Linked DNA regions of Caenorhabditis elegans. The protein of the gene in region 1 interacts with the protein of each later gene in a pairwise test. Each region holds a gene or a part of one and is shown in the gene's direction. Other genes may lie near its edges. The genes, in order: npp-1 and puf-8.

Region 1 (6,189 bases):
CTGCGACAGAATTACAGTTGATTTCAAGAAAACCAAAAAATGTTGAAAAAAAAGAGACCCGAAGAACTCGGGGGATGTCCAACTGGGGGGATTACCAACTCGGGGGATTGGCCCCGCCCACAGAACCGTGGCTTGCAATACGCCCATTTTTGCAACTGAATTTTTGCAACTAAAATTATTTTTTCTTGTTAATTCTCGCTCTATTGAGAAAAATACAGTTTTAAAACCGTGCGGCAGTTGCAGAAATGGGCGTATTGCAAGCCACGGTTCTGTGGGCGGGGCCAATCCCCCGAGTTGGTAATCCCCCCAGTTGGACATCCCACGAGTTCTTCGGGTCTCAAAAAAAAGGTTTTTCAAAATAATTTTAATCTAAAATTATTTCTTGAATACTTATTTGTGGCATGAATTTCAATTGAATACTATCAGAGGTTTTGGAAATGTGATACAATTTTTTTGGTTTTCAAAATTTCCAGCAATTGCGCCCATACCGTCTACCTCGTTATTTTCGGAATTTTGGCGGGAAGACGCAGATTGCCTCAAAATGCAGGCAGGCGTTTTGTGTCTACGCGGAAAGCTTACTCTGAAACATACTGAAACTACTACTACTACTCTGAAACTACTCTGAAACTCTTCTTTAAGATTATTGTCGGATGGGGAGTGGCAAGATTCGGGCTGTTCCAATGGATTGCCCCGCAGAATGTGAAAAATGATGTGTTGAACTATATTGGAATTGCATTGACAATCGTGAGTGGAGTTCTTTTGATATTCGTGAAACACGTGGAAACGGAGCCAGAAAATGAATATGATGTGACCAGCAAGGAAATGGAACATCAAGAAGAGATTGAGCAAAGACTCAGCAATTCAGAAAGAGATTCTTCATTTGATATGGCTGGTTTGGCAAAGAAATTACCGTTCGTTGGGCATGCTTAGAAATTTAAAAAAAAAACGAATTTTCAGTTATATCCTTATGGCAATGGTTCTTGCGTGTCTACATGGTTTGATGATGTCACCGATTGAATATTTGAAGCAACAGAATCCACCAACTGATAGTTTCCAAGTGTTTGACTATATTTTCCCATTCTACACATCAGTATTCCTCTTCTCTACACTGTATTTCTTCGCGTATTGTGTAATTTTGCGTCGAAAAGCCTACGTGGAAAGGAATTTGATAATTCCATCGATTGGGTACGGTATTTTATGGACTACAGGTAAGAGATGCGTGGTCGATTGTTCAAATGTTTAGTTCTTCAGGAATGACACTTTGGTTTGTCTCCAGTGATAAATTATCTCAAGTTGTTGCCTATCCATGTACCGCCCGTCTTCCACCGTTAATTAGTGGAGCTCTTGATGTATTTGTATTCAAGAGTATTCAAGGAACCCGATCATATGCTACGTTGGCAATTTCTTCTGTTATTGGTGTCATTTCGGTGATTATGATTGCTTTGTCTAATCAGATTTAATTAGAACAGAACCGAACGATTTATTGATCTCATCTCAAAATGTTGTATTATATTTGAAATAAAGTATTATTCGTATCGTTTAAACGATCGTTTGGTTTAAAAAAAAAATTTTTCAACAAAACAACTGGAAATCTAAAGAAGTTACTATTGATATCTTTTATATCGAAATTCAATTTAAGAATTCTTGATTAAAATGAGTTATCAAATTTTCGCAAAATACGAAGTAACTGAATACCTGAAACATGCATTTCTTTTCACGGTTGAATGTTCTTCGGAATATGTATTCTTTCATCTTCGAGGAGGGTGCCAGCAAACGCGCCCCTTCGTACACAGACAAAATTCGAAAAAATTTGCACGCCAAAGCGTCCCCAAAAATCGATTTAATTCGGCTCATTGTCTTATTTATATTATTATTTTCATTCTAGAATTCTCGCATTAACTACATATGTGTTCTTTTTCTTCTCACAAGCCCCATTTCTCTTAAAAATCGTTTGTTTTCAGCGAAATGTCACTTTTCGGGTCATCTACTCCCCAAAAACAGGCATTTACGTTTCCAACGCCGAATGCTCCAACAACATCGTCTGGAACTTTGTTTGGAAGCACGTTAGTATTTTAAGAAGTATTATTTTTATACAAAAATATTATTTTCAGAACGCCATCAAAGCCTCTGTTCGGTTCAACTGCTCAGGCTTCATCAACGCCTTCGCTTTTTGGAACAACAAATACCTCTACTCCTTCTGGAGGATTGTTTGGAAGTAAGTTTGATATTTTTACTTTTACACAACTTACTTCGTAATCAAAGTTGCATTTTAAACCGAAATATATTAAATTTCAGAGACAGGCACTTCAACTACTACCACTTCAACTGCTGGAACTTTGTTTGGTGCTGCTCCAACCACTTCAACAGCTACTCCAAGTCTTTTCGGTGCTTCTACAACCGGTAAGCTACTCAAAATTATCGATATTTTCGGTCACTTCTACTTAGTTTATACTATTAGCTGTTGTGTGGTCTCGTTGAGAGAAAAGCTAGACAATGATAAGGAGGGGAAATCGATAAATCATATTGATCGAAGTAATACATTTTGGACCAAAAAATTATATTCTAAATTCCAGCAACAAATGAATGAAAAAAGAAAATAGACTCAATATATTTTTTGATCTGACAAATTATTTGACCTACCAAGGTTCTACTTCTGTGATTTGCGCTTAATTTTTATTCAAAATTGTTATTTCTCTCCTATCGCTCTACTTCTCTCGTCGTCATTGTGTTCGTTACCTTCACTTTTCTCTGTCGTGGTCGGTGTCGTGCGGATTTCTTTGCCTGTTCTTCTATCACCCGTGTTGCTCTTTGCTACTCGTTTTCTTCGTCTCGAGCGTCTGCAGAAATGTTTGCCCGACGTGGGGGCATCACCGGAATCAAAGCAGAAGACATGCCGAAGAATCTTCCAAATCTTCCCGATTTACCTACGACATCAGCATCTCAAGCTCCAGCCCCAGCAACCCAGAATGTTAGTTCACCAGCCCGTCGCAATTTGTTTGGAGCACCCAATGACGCTAACCGCACGCTTTTCACAAATTCTCCGGCATCTGGAACCACTTCTGGAACTTCAGGACTCTTCGGAACATCATCAACGACATCTGGAGGTCTCGGCGGTATTGGATCCACACAACAAACTGCCAAATCACCCGTTGCCACAAGATTGGCAGCATTCAAATCAGGAACTTTGGGGGCTGGTAGTCTTTCTGGTAATACTCCAACATCTTTTGCCACACCATCTGCGTTACCAGGAACTAATGCCCCACAGTCATCTTTTCTATCACCGGCAAACAACTTGAATGTGGCTCCAGCAGCTTATCGTCCTCCCTACTCAACATTTGGAGGTTGGTATTCATCAACTTTGTATTAGCTTTTCATATTTCTAGAATTGAGTAGACTTGGTGGGTCAGATCAAAAACCGAATAAAAAAAAAAAAAACTAAACCTAATATTAAATCTTAAAAATAATTAATTTAGATATGTCTAATTAGCTTTAAAACATTGCTTCAAGTATTTTATCGTGAATCTGGAATATAATTGTCTAATTAACGAACTTTGATAATTTTGATGGCTCAATTTTCAGGATCGACCCCATTCGGAGCAGCGTCGACTGGAACAGCCGCGGGATCAACGCTTTTTGGATCGAGTACTGCAAAGCCAGCTACAGGCGGATTTTTTGGTTCCAGCTCAGGGTCTACTCTTGGTGGTCTTGGAGCAACTCAACAACAACAACAGCCTGTTGTTCAGCAGCAACAAGTTATTCAGGTAATTAAATGAATCTTAAGAATATCTGAGCGCTTTTCCAAATAAAATTTTTTCAGCAGTATCACCCATTTGTGAAAGCTGTCGGAGATCCAAAGCTCTTTGGAAATGATAATGATGGAGTTGTTGCTAAGTTGAATCAAGTTGCTGCCGGTTTGGGTGTCGGAAAAGCTCCATACAAAGATGGAAATCAGCTTCTATCGTTTTCAATGGAAGGAAACTTGTTTGAACGATTTGTTGTAAGTTTATTTTATAAATCACTGAAAACTTGCACAGTGTCACGTTTCAGGGAATCGGATACAATCGTATTTCGGAGCGAACCGACGATGAGGGATTTGTAACTTTGGTGCTGCGTCATCCTATTACAAACTTGAACACAGAAGAACGCCGTGACAAAATTCTTGAAATTATCAAAGCTATTCTTGGTGGCGGACCAAATGTAGAAGTTCGATATGCTCCTGGTACTTCGATGAGAACACTTTCTGATGGATGCACAGAAATCTGTATTATCGCCAAAGAAGGCGGATTTGTTGCAGGAGCTATTAAACTTGCTCAAATCCTCAATGATGCTCCAAAAATGACCCAATTAGAATCGCAGTTGCAAGTGGATAAAACAAGGGTTCTTCCTAAAGTTGGAATGTCGAAAGCACAAAGAGATAGATATTTGGAGACAGTTCCTGATGGTTAGTTTACTCGTTATTTTTACTATGTTTATCATTTATTAACAAAGATTTTCGTTTTCCTCCCTCGCATTGTATCAAATTTCATTCATTTCAGGAATCGATGAGCGTATTTGGAGACAAGCAATCAAAGAAAACCCAGCTCCAAACAAACTTCTTCCTGTTCCAGTACGTGGATGGGAAGCATTAAGAGACAGACAGAAGGCTCAAGTTGGCGAGTCGAAACTATTCCACGAGGCAATTAATGCATTGGGAAATCGTGTTGAAGAAGCTAATGTAAGTTGTTATAACTTGATGAAAGTTTACAAATGTCATACATATTTCAGCATGAACATGCAGATGCAGTTGTTAAGATGGAGATTATTCGTAATCGCCATAAAACTCTCTCGTACAGAATTGTTCGTGTTATGCTTGCACAATGGATTGTATCAAGATATTCACGTCAAATTGACACTGATGAGGATGTAATTGAAGCTAAAGCTGATACACTTCTTGCCCAAATGAATCGTCATAATCAAGTGAAGGTGAGAAAAAATTATGATTTAATTTTGTATAAAACAATTAATTTCAGTTTTATGTCGACAAATTCTACGAGATTTTGGAATCAAAACCGGATAAACTTCAAGAATCAATGTGGAAAATGTTTGATATGACAATTGAAGATGAACACTATGCTCGTAGAGTGCTTACCAAATTTGTTAATATTTGCTCTGGCCTTTACGAGTCAACACATCAACAAATCGAAAGTCTTGAAGCTTGTAGAAGGGCTCTAGAAGGATAATTTATTTTTTAGAAAAGATTTTCTGAAAATCTTTTTTTCAGATTTTCTCGTATTAATTTAAAAATTCGCTCATTTCTTTTGTATCATCATTATTTTCTTTCAAACTCTGACAGGTTTCTGGTTATTTCTGTTTCGACCTAAGATGTGTGGCAGAAAATTGTTTTTAAAACTTATACATATTGAGCAAAAAAGCTCGCTTTTTTCTATGTTCGCCTGTCATCACGAGTACATTTTTTCATAAAATATGCCTCATTCTTGGTTGTAACTGTTGATCTGACCTCCTCAAATTGTTAATTGTCTTATTTCACACACTGTTTAATAGATTGAATTAATTCATCTCAAACTTCTATCTAGAATAAATTTGATCTCCATTTTTCTGTTTGAGTTTTGTCAAATAACGGTTGTCTCCCGTTCGAATTTCTGCGATTTTCAAATAATTAGAATCACATAAAAACTATTGCAAAATGTATCTCAGAAAATGGACGATGAAGACAATGATGAAAAGAGACGTCAACGTTCAGATGAAGCTCGTCGAGCCGCGATGAGGCAAAAAATTCAAGATCAGAGAGAAAGAGATCGTCAAATTGCTGCTGACATTGCTAATGTTGACAAAAAAACGACAAAACGCATTGTATTTGAAGATTCGGATGATGGGGATGATCAGGATGAAGAAACAGAAAAAACAGCCGCGAATGGTGAAAAGGTTGGAAGTTTTTCAATTTTTTGAGATAAAAATCTCTTATAACAGCAATTGCCCGATTTCATAAAGTTGTTTGCTGTAAAGACAATACTCGTAAACTAAGTTGGAATAATTCAGAAAACCTCGCGCAGTTCAAAACGTCCAAAACTCTTCGATTCTGAAGATGAAAACGATAAAGATGAGGAGGAAGATTTTGAAATCAAAAATAGACACTCTGGTCCTAAAGGTATTGTCTAAAATTAAAATAAATTAAACCAAAACTATTTTTCA
Region 2 (4,825 bases), on another chromosome or scaffold:
TCTTTGTGGTCGTGTGCCAGGCCTGAAACAAGATTATTTGAAAATGCAGAATATTGGATGAACTTACAATGGTTTCGAGCTTCTTTTGCTACGTTTCCTTTTTGATTCTCCATACATTCGTCTCATTTTAACTAACTGTATTTTCTGTTTCTCAAAGTTTGTTAATGGTCGGATAAGATGATCTCCAACGTAGACGTGATTATTCTAGAAAAAAACCGTATTTGTTAATTGTAGTAATTAAAAAGTGAAGTGACTATTTCATAGATTCTGACAAAAGAATACGGTAATTGGTCTCGAAGCGTCTTTGACCTATCAATTTCCGATCGTGTCGACCCCTGATACCGTAATATTGAAGATTTACATTAAAACCAGATGGTTCTAACTATACACAATTGGAAAAAAAAACTTACTCGAACAATACAAGAATCCAACACCACTTCAATAGAATCATCATACCCTCCACAGAATTTTGGAATTGTAGGAAACGAGGCTTCGAAAGAATCAAATGAAGATGATGAACTGTAAAACGCTTAATTTTCAAAACAATCGAGAATAGAATGACAAACTCTTTGAATGCACTTAGATCATGCTGATACGAACTAAATATGTGTAGTTCGTGATCATTCAACTTTCGCTTGGAAACACCATGAAGGAATAGGGTACTGTCCTGAAAGATTTGGAAGATATTTTCAAATTGTTTTCTACGAATGCTTACAAATACAGCACATGCTGGTCCAACATAACCATATCCAGGTTGATATTCAGGTGGTGTATTTAGAATTAGGGCATTACCAATTAAAGGTAATATAAAATAATGAAGACTTTTAACCATGGCAACCAAAGGGTACACCTAGTCAAAGACTCTATTTGGTCGTGATGAGTTCAAGTTACGAAGCAAGAACAAAGATGGGACTGTGAGGAGACAAGGGGCGTCGCTTCTCGGCACACAAACTATGGTGTTGTTCCCACGGCCGGAAGCTGCTTTACACGAACCTTATGCAATCGGACGCTCTATGTTCGTACACACACACAATACGCTCGTACGATCGGCCAGCCTGCAACCTTTTTCGATGTGAGGCTTTGTTTTCCAAAATTAAATATACACAAACAGACAAAATCTAATTCTCGTTAAAGGTCAGAAAGGGGTTGGAATGGAGATGACAATGAAATAGAGGTGGGAGGAAATTTGATACGATGGCCGGCGAACGGACGGTCGGGAAGAAAAAAAAAAACTAAATTTGTCGAGAATCTTCACGTTGTTTGCTTTTGCATGCTCTACACACTTTGAAGTTTTTGAAACGGTCATTCGACTCCCGAGAATAAAAAGATGAAGATGTATATCCATTTCATTGTAAAGAAAGAATCAAAACGGTCAAGCTATGTTAAGCACAAAGCACATGGAAAATAAATTTAGAATATTCAATACTATGCATAACAACACTCATTCATACACTTTCTGCCAGTTCTGAAGAGTTGAGAGTGAGGAAATATCGACTTTGGAGCAGGTATCTCTGAGAGCACAAGTATATTCAATTGATCTACTTAGCATTTGATCTCCAGAAAAACGGAGATTAATATAAATGCTATGTTTACATTTACTGTTACATCTACACAGGGTCTTCACTAGGTCAGCTTGGGATTCGTATAAAATTAGGTCCCTGAAGAATTAGGTCTCGCCGCGAACTCGAATCACATGGGTTTTCAGAAAATACAGTACCCGACACCATATTGAAACTACATAATCCAAGCCTACTATTTTTTCAAAAAGTCGAAAAAAATGTTTTTTCTACTCTCCTACATGCCACGCCTCCTTTCAGCATATTACCTTTTCGTATATTAAGTTTTTCACCAGTTCTCCTTTCCATGGACTCTCAAGTGCGTGCGGAACCTCAATAATTTAAAGGAACATGCATTTAATGGAGAAATGGGTTTCACCACGAACACCACGACTACGGTATTCGTTCGAAAATTATCCGAATAAATACGGAACTCCTGTTCTAAATAGTGATTTTTGATTGTTTTTCATTGTTTTCTCATTTTAATGTTCTAAATTCTCATGTGCAACTATTTTAATTAATAAAAATAAATAAAGTACGCGTTGCAATTGTTTTTTCAAGCTGAACTATGCCTCCTTGACCTAAAGTAATTATTTTAGGGGTAATCTGCGTTCCTGATGAGTCGTCCGATTTCAATTGGGAATACATGCACATTTGATCCTTCAGCTTCTCCGATTGAATCTCTTGGGAGGAGCATCGGTGCTCAGAAAATAGTGGATAGTGTATGCGGATCTCCGATTGTGAGTCTTGTTTATTGCAATATTGAAATTATTTTTTATTTTGAATAGAAATACAATGTTCATGCAATAAATCACACTGATAGATTTGCCGCAGTGTTTGTCAATTAAATTTTCAATAAAACAATGATTTCAGAGATCGTATGGCCGTCATATTTCTACCAATCCAAAAAATGAACGCCTTCCCGATACACCAGAGTTTCAATTTGCCACTTACATGCATCAAGGAGGAAAAGTAATTGGCCAGAATACATTGCACATGTTCGGAACTCCACCATCGTGTTATTGTGCTCAAGAAAATATTCCAATCAGCTCTAATGTCGGTCATGTCTTGAGTACTATCAATAACAACTACATGAATCATCAATACAATGGTTCTAATATGTTTTCGAATCAAATGACACAAATGCTACAAGCACAAGGTTAGTAAAAACATATTTCGAATATGGAAATTCTCCGTTTTTACAGCATATAATGATTTACAAATGCACCAAGCGCATTCTCAAAGTATTCGTGTACCGGTTCAACCGTCTGCCACAGGCATATTTTCAAATCCCTACAGGTTTTTTTCTAAACTCAAAAATAGTTTAAATATTTGTATATTTCAGGGAACCAACAACCACCGACGATCTTCTAACTAGATATCGTGCAAATCCAGCCATGATGAAGAATTTAAAATTATCAGACATTCGTGGAGCACTGTTGAAGTTTGCCAAAGATCAAGTTGGCTCGAGATTCATTCAACAGGAACTTGCTTCCAGTAAGGACAGATTCGAGAAGGACTCTATATTTGATGAAGTCGTTTCCAATGCTGATGAGCTCGTTGATGATATTTTCGGCAACTACGTAGTGCAGAAATTCTTCGAATATGGCGAAGAAAGGCATTGGGCTCGGCTCGTCGATGCAATAATTGATCGTGTACCAGAATACGCGTTTCAAATGTATGCCTGCCGTGTTCTTCAGAAAGCTTTGGAAAAAATCAATGAGCCACTTCAAATAAAAATTCTTTCTCAAATCCGACACGTCATCCATCGTTGTATGAAAGATCAAAATGGAAACCACGTGGTTCAGAAGGCCATAGAGAAAGTCAGTCCACAGTACGTCCAATTCATTGTCGATACGCTTCTAGAATCCAGCAACACAATTTACGAGATGTCTGTGGATCCCTACGGTTGTCGTGTTGTCCAACGTTGTCTCGAACACTGCAGTCCTTCGCAGACGAAGCCTGTTATCGGCCAAATTCATAAACGTTTCGACGAAATTGCAAATAATCAGTACGGAAACTATGTGGTTCAACACGTCATTGAACATGGAAGTGAAGAGGATAGAATGGTTATTGTTACTCGTGTCTCCAACAATCTATTCGAGTTTGCCACCCACAAGTACTCGTCGAACGTTATCGAAAAATGTTTGGAACAAGGCGCAGTTTATCACAAGTCCATGATCGTAGGAGCTGCGTGTCACCATCAGGAAGGGTATGTATATTCATGAAAAATGTAGATATAATTATTTCATTCAGATCTGTACCGATTGTTGTCCAAATGATGAAAGATCAGTACGCCAACTACGTTGTTCAGAAAATGTTCGATCAGGTTACATCAGAACAGCGCCGTGAACTCATCCTAACTGTTCGTCCACACATTCCCGTTTTGAGACAATTCCCTCATGGAAAGCACATTCTTGGTAAGATATTGCAAAGAATGATTTAATAATATTCAACCTTAATTTGCAGCAAAACTTGAAAAATATTTTCAAAAGCCGGCTGTCATGAGCTATCCATACCAAGATATGCAGGGATCTCACTAGCCCAATCAGTTTTGTACTATTCCCAACACTCAACTCCTCACAAATGTACCTTTAGTTATCTCAAATCCGGTTGTTATACCGGTTCTTTTTGTTATTCCCTGTGCATTTCTGTAGACAGCTTATCGTAATTTGTAATGTTACTCGTTTTGTAATTTTTTCCTAATCTTATTTTAGCATAAAAATTTGAAAAAAAAGTTGTTGAACATTTGTTTTAAAGATGTTTATATATCTCCCTTATATATCTTGAATTACTTGAAAACCGTTTTCGCACAAATCTAAATGTTTGAGATGGAGTCTGGTGATCATCTCGGAAATCTTTTCGATGATATGGTAGAAGAGGATAACGATGAAGATAGTTTTGAAGAACCTGCGTGTGAAGACAGTTTTGATTCTCAAGAAGCTTCATCGAAAGCTAACGAACCTCAAAACGACAGTTTCGATGAGCCTATTCAGAGCTCAGTAAGTAAACAAAGTGATGATGCAAACGGAGAAGATGAAATTAATGAAGAAGTCATACAAGAACAGAAGGAGCTGGATTTAAATGAAGAGGACTTCAATCTTTTGACGATTGGTTTGTTTGTGAGTATATATAAACGTTATAAGACAATCATGTTACAGAAGAAGTTCCGTTGGATGTTCTGACAGCTCGTATAAGAAGAGTGTTCACCGAAGTCACATATAGAGCAGAGCCTGCAGCGATAGCACTTTTTGACGTCGCACACAAAA

The links.
Region 2: the proteins of npp-1 (region 1) and puf-8 interact in a two-hybrid assay, tested with the Caenorhabditis elegans proteins (one study listed by BioGRID).

Annotation. Positions count from the first base shown.
Region 1 is NC_003282.8:9,856,527-9,862,715, forward strand, and holds npp-1 (Nucleoporin Nup54 alpha-helical domain-containing protein), read left to right. Parts: upstream 1-1,961; 5' UTR 1,962-1,965; coding exon 1,966-2,063; intron 2,064-2,111; coding exon 2,112-2,215; intron 2,216-2,295; coding exon 2,296-2,400; exon of another isoform or gene 2,401-2,845; coding exon of another isoform or gene 2,846-3,071; coding exon 3,072-3,341; intron 3,342-3,579; coding exon 3,580-3,761; intron 3,762-3,817; coding exon 3,818-3,997; intron 3,998-4,047; coding exon 4,048-4,441; intron 4,442-4,535; coding exon 4,536-4,714; intron 4,715-4,764; coding exon 4,765-4,962; intron 4,963-5,009; coding exon 5,010-5,219; 3' UTR 5,220-5,585; downstream 5,586-6,189. Other genes in the region: K07F5.12 (Transmembrane protein 144 homolog), read left to right, coding at 640-911, 958-1,208, 1,252-1,460; K07F5.14 (NUC153 domain-containing protein), read left to right, coding at 5,698-5,922, 6,037-6,145.
Region 2 is NC_003280.10:7,295,578-7,300,402, reverse strand, and holds puf-8 (PUM-HD domain-containing protein), read left to right. Parts: upstream 1-2,155; 5' UTR 2,156-2,173; coding exon 2,174-2,296; intron 2,297-2,429; coding exon 2,430-2,715; intron 2,716-2,761; coding exon 2,762-2,855; intron 2,856-2,901; coding exon 2,902-3,768; intron 3,769-3,812; coding exon 3,813-3,976; intron 3,977-4,025; coding exon 4,026-4,099; 3' UTR 4,100-4,288; downstream 4,289-4,825. Other genes in the region: C30G12.1 (uncharacterized protein), read right to left, coding at 1-22, 68-204, 411-519, 567-667, 716-832; C30G12.6 (uncharacterized protein), read left to right, coding at 4,388-4,670, 4,718-4,825.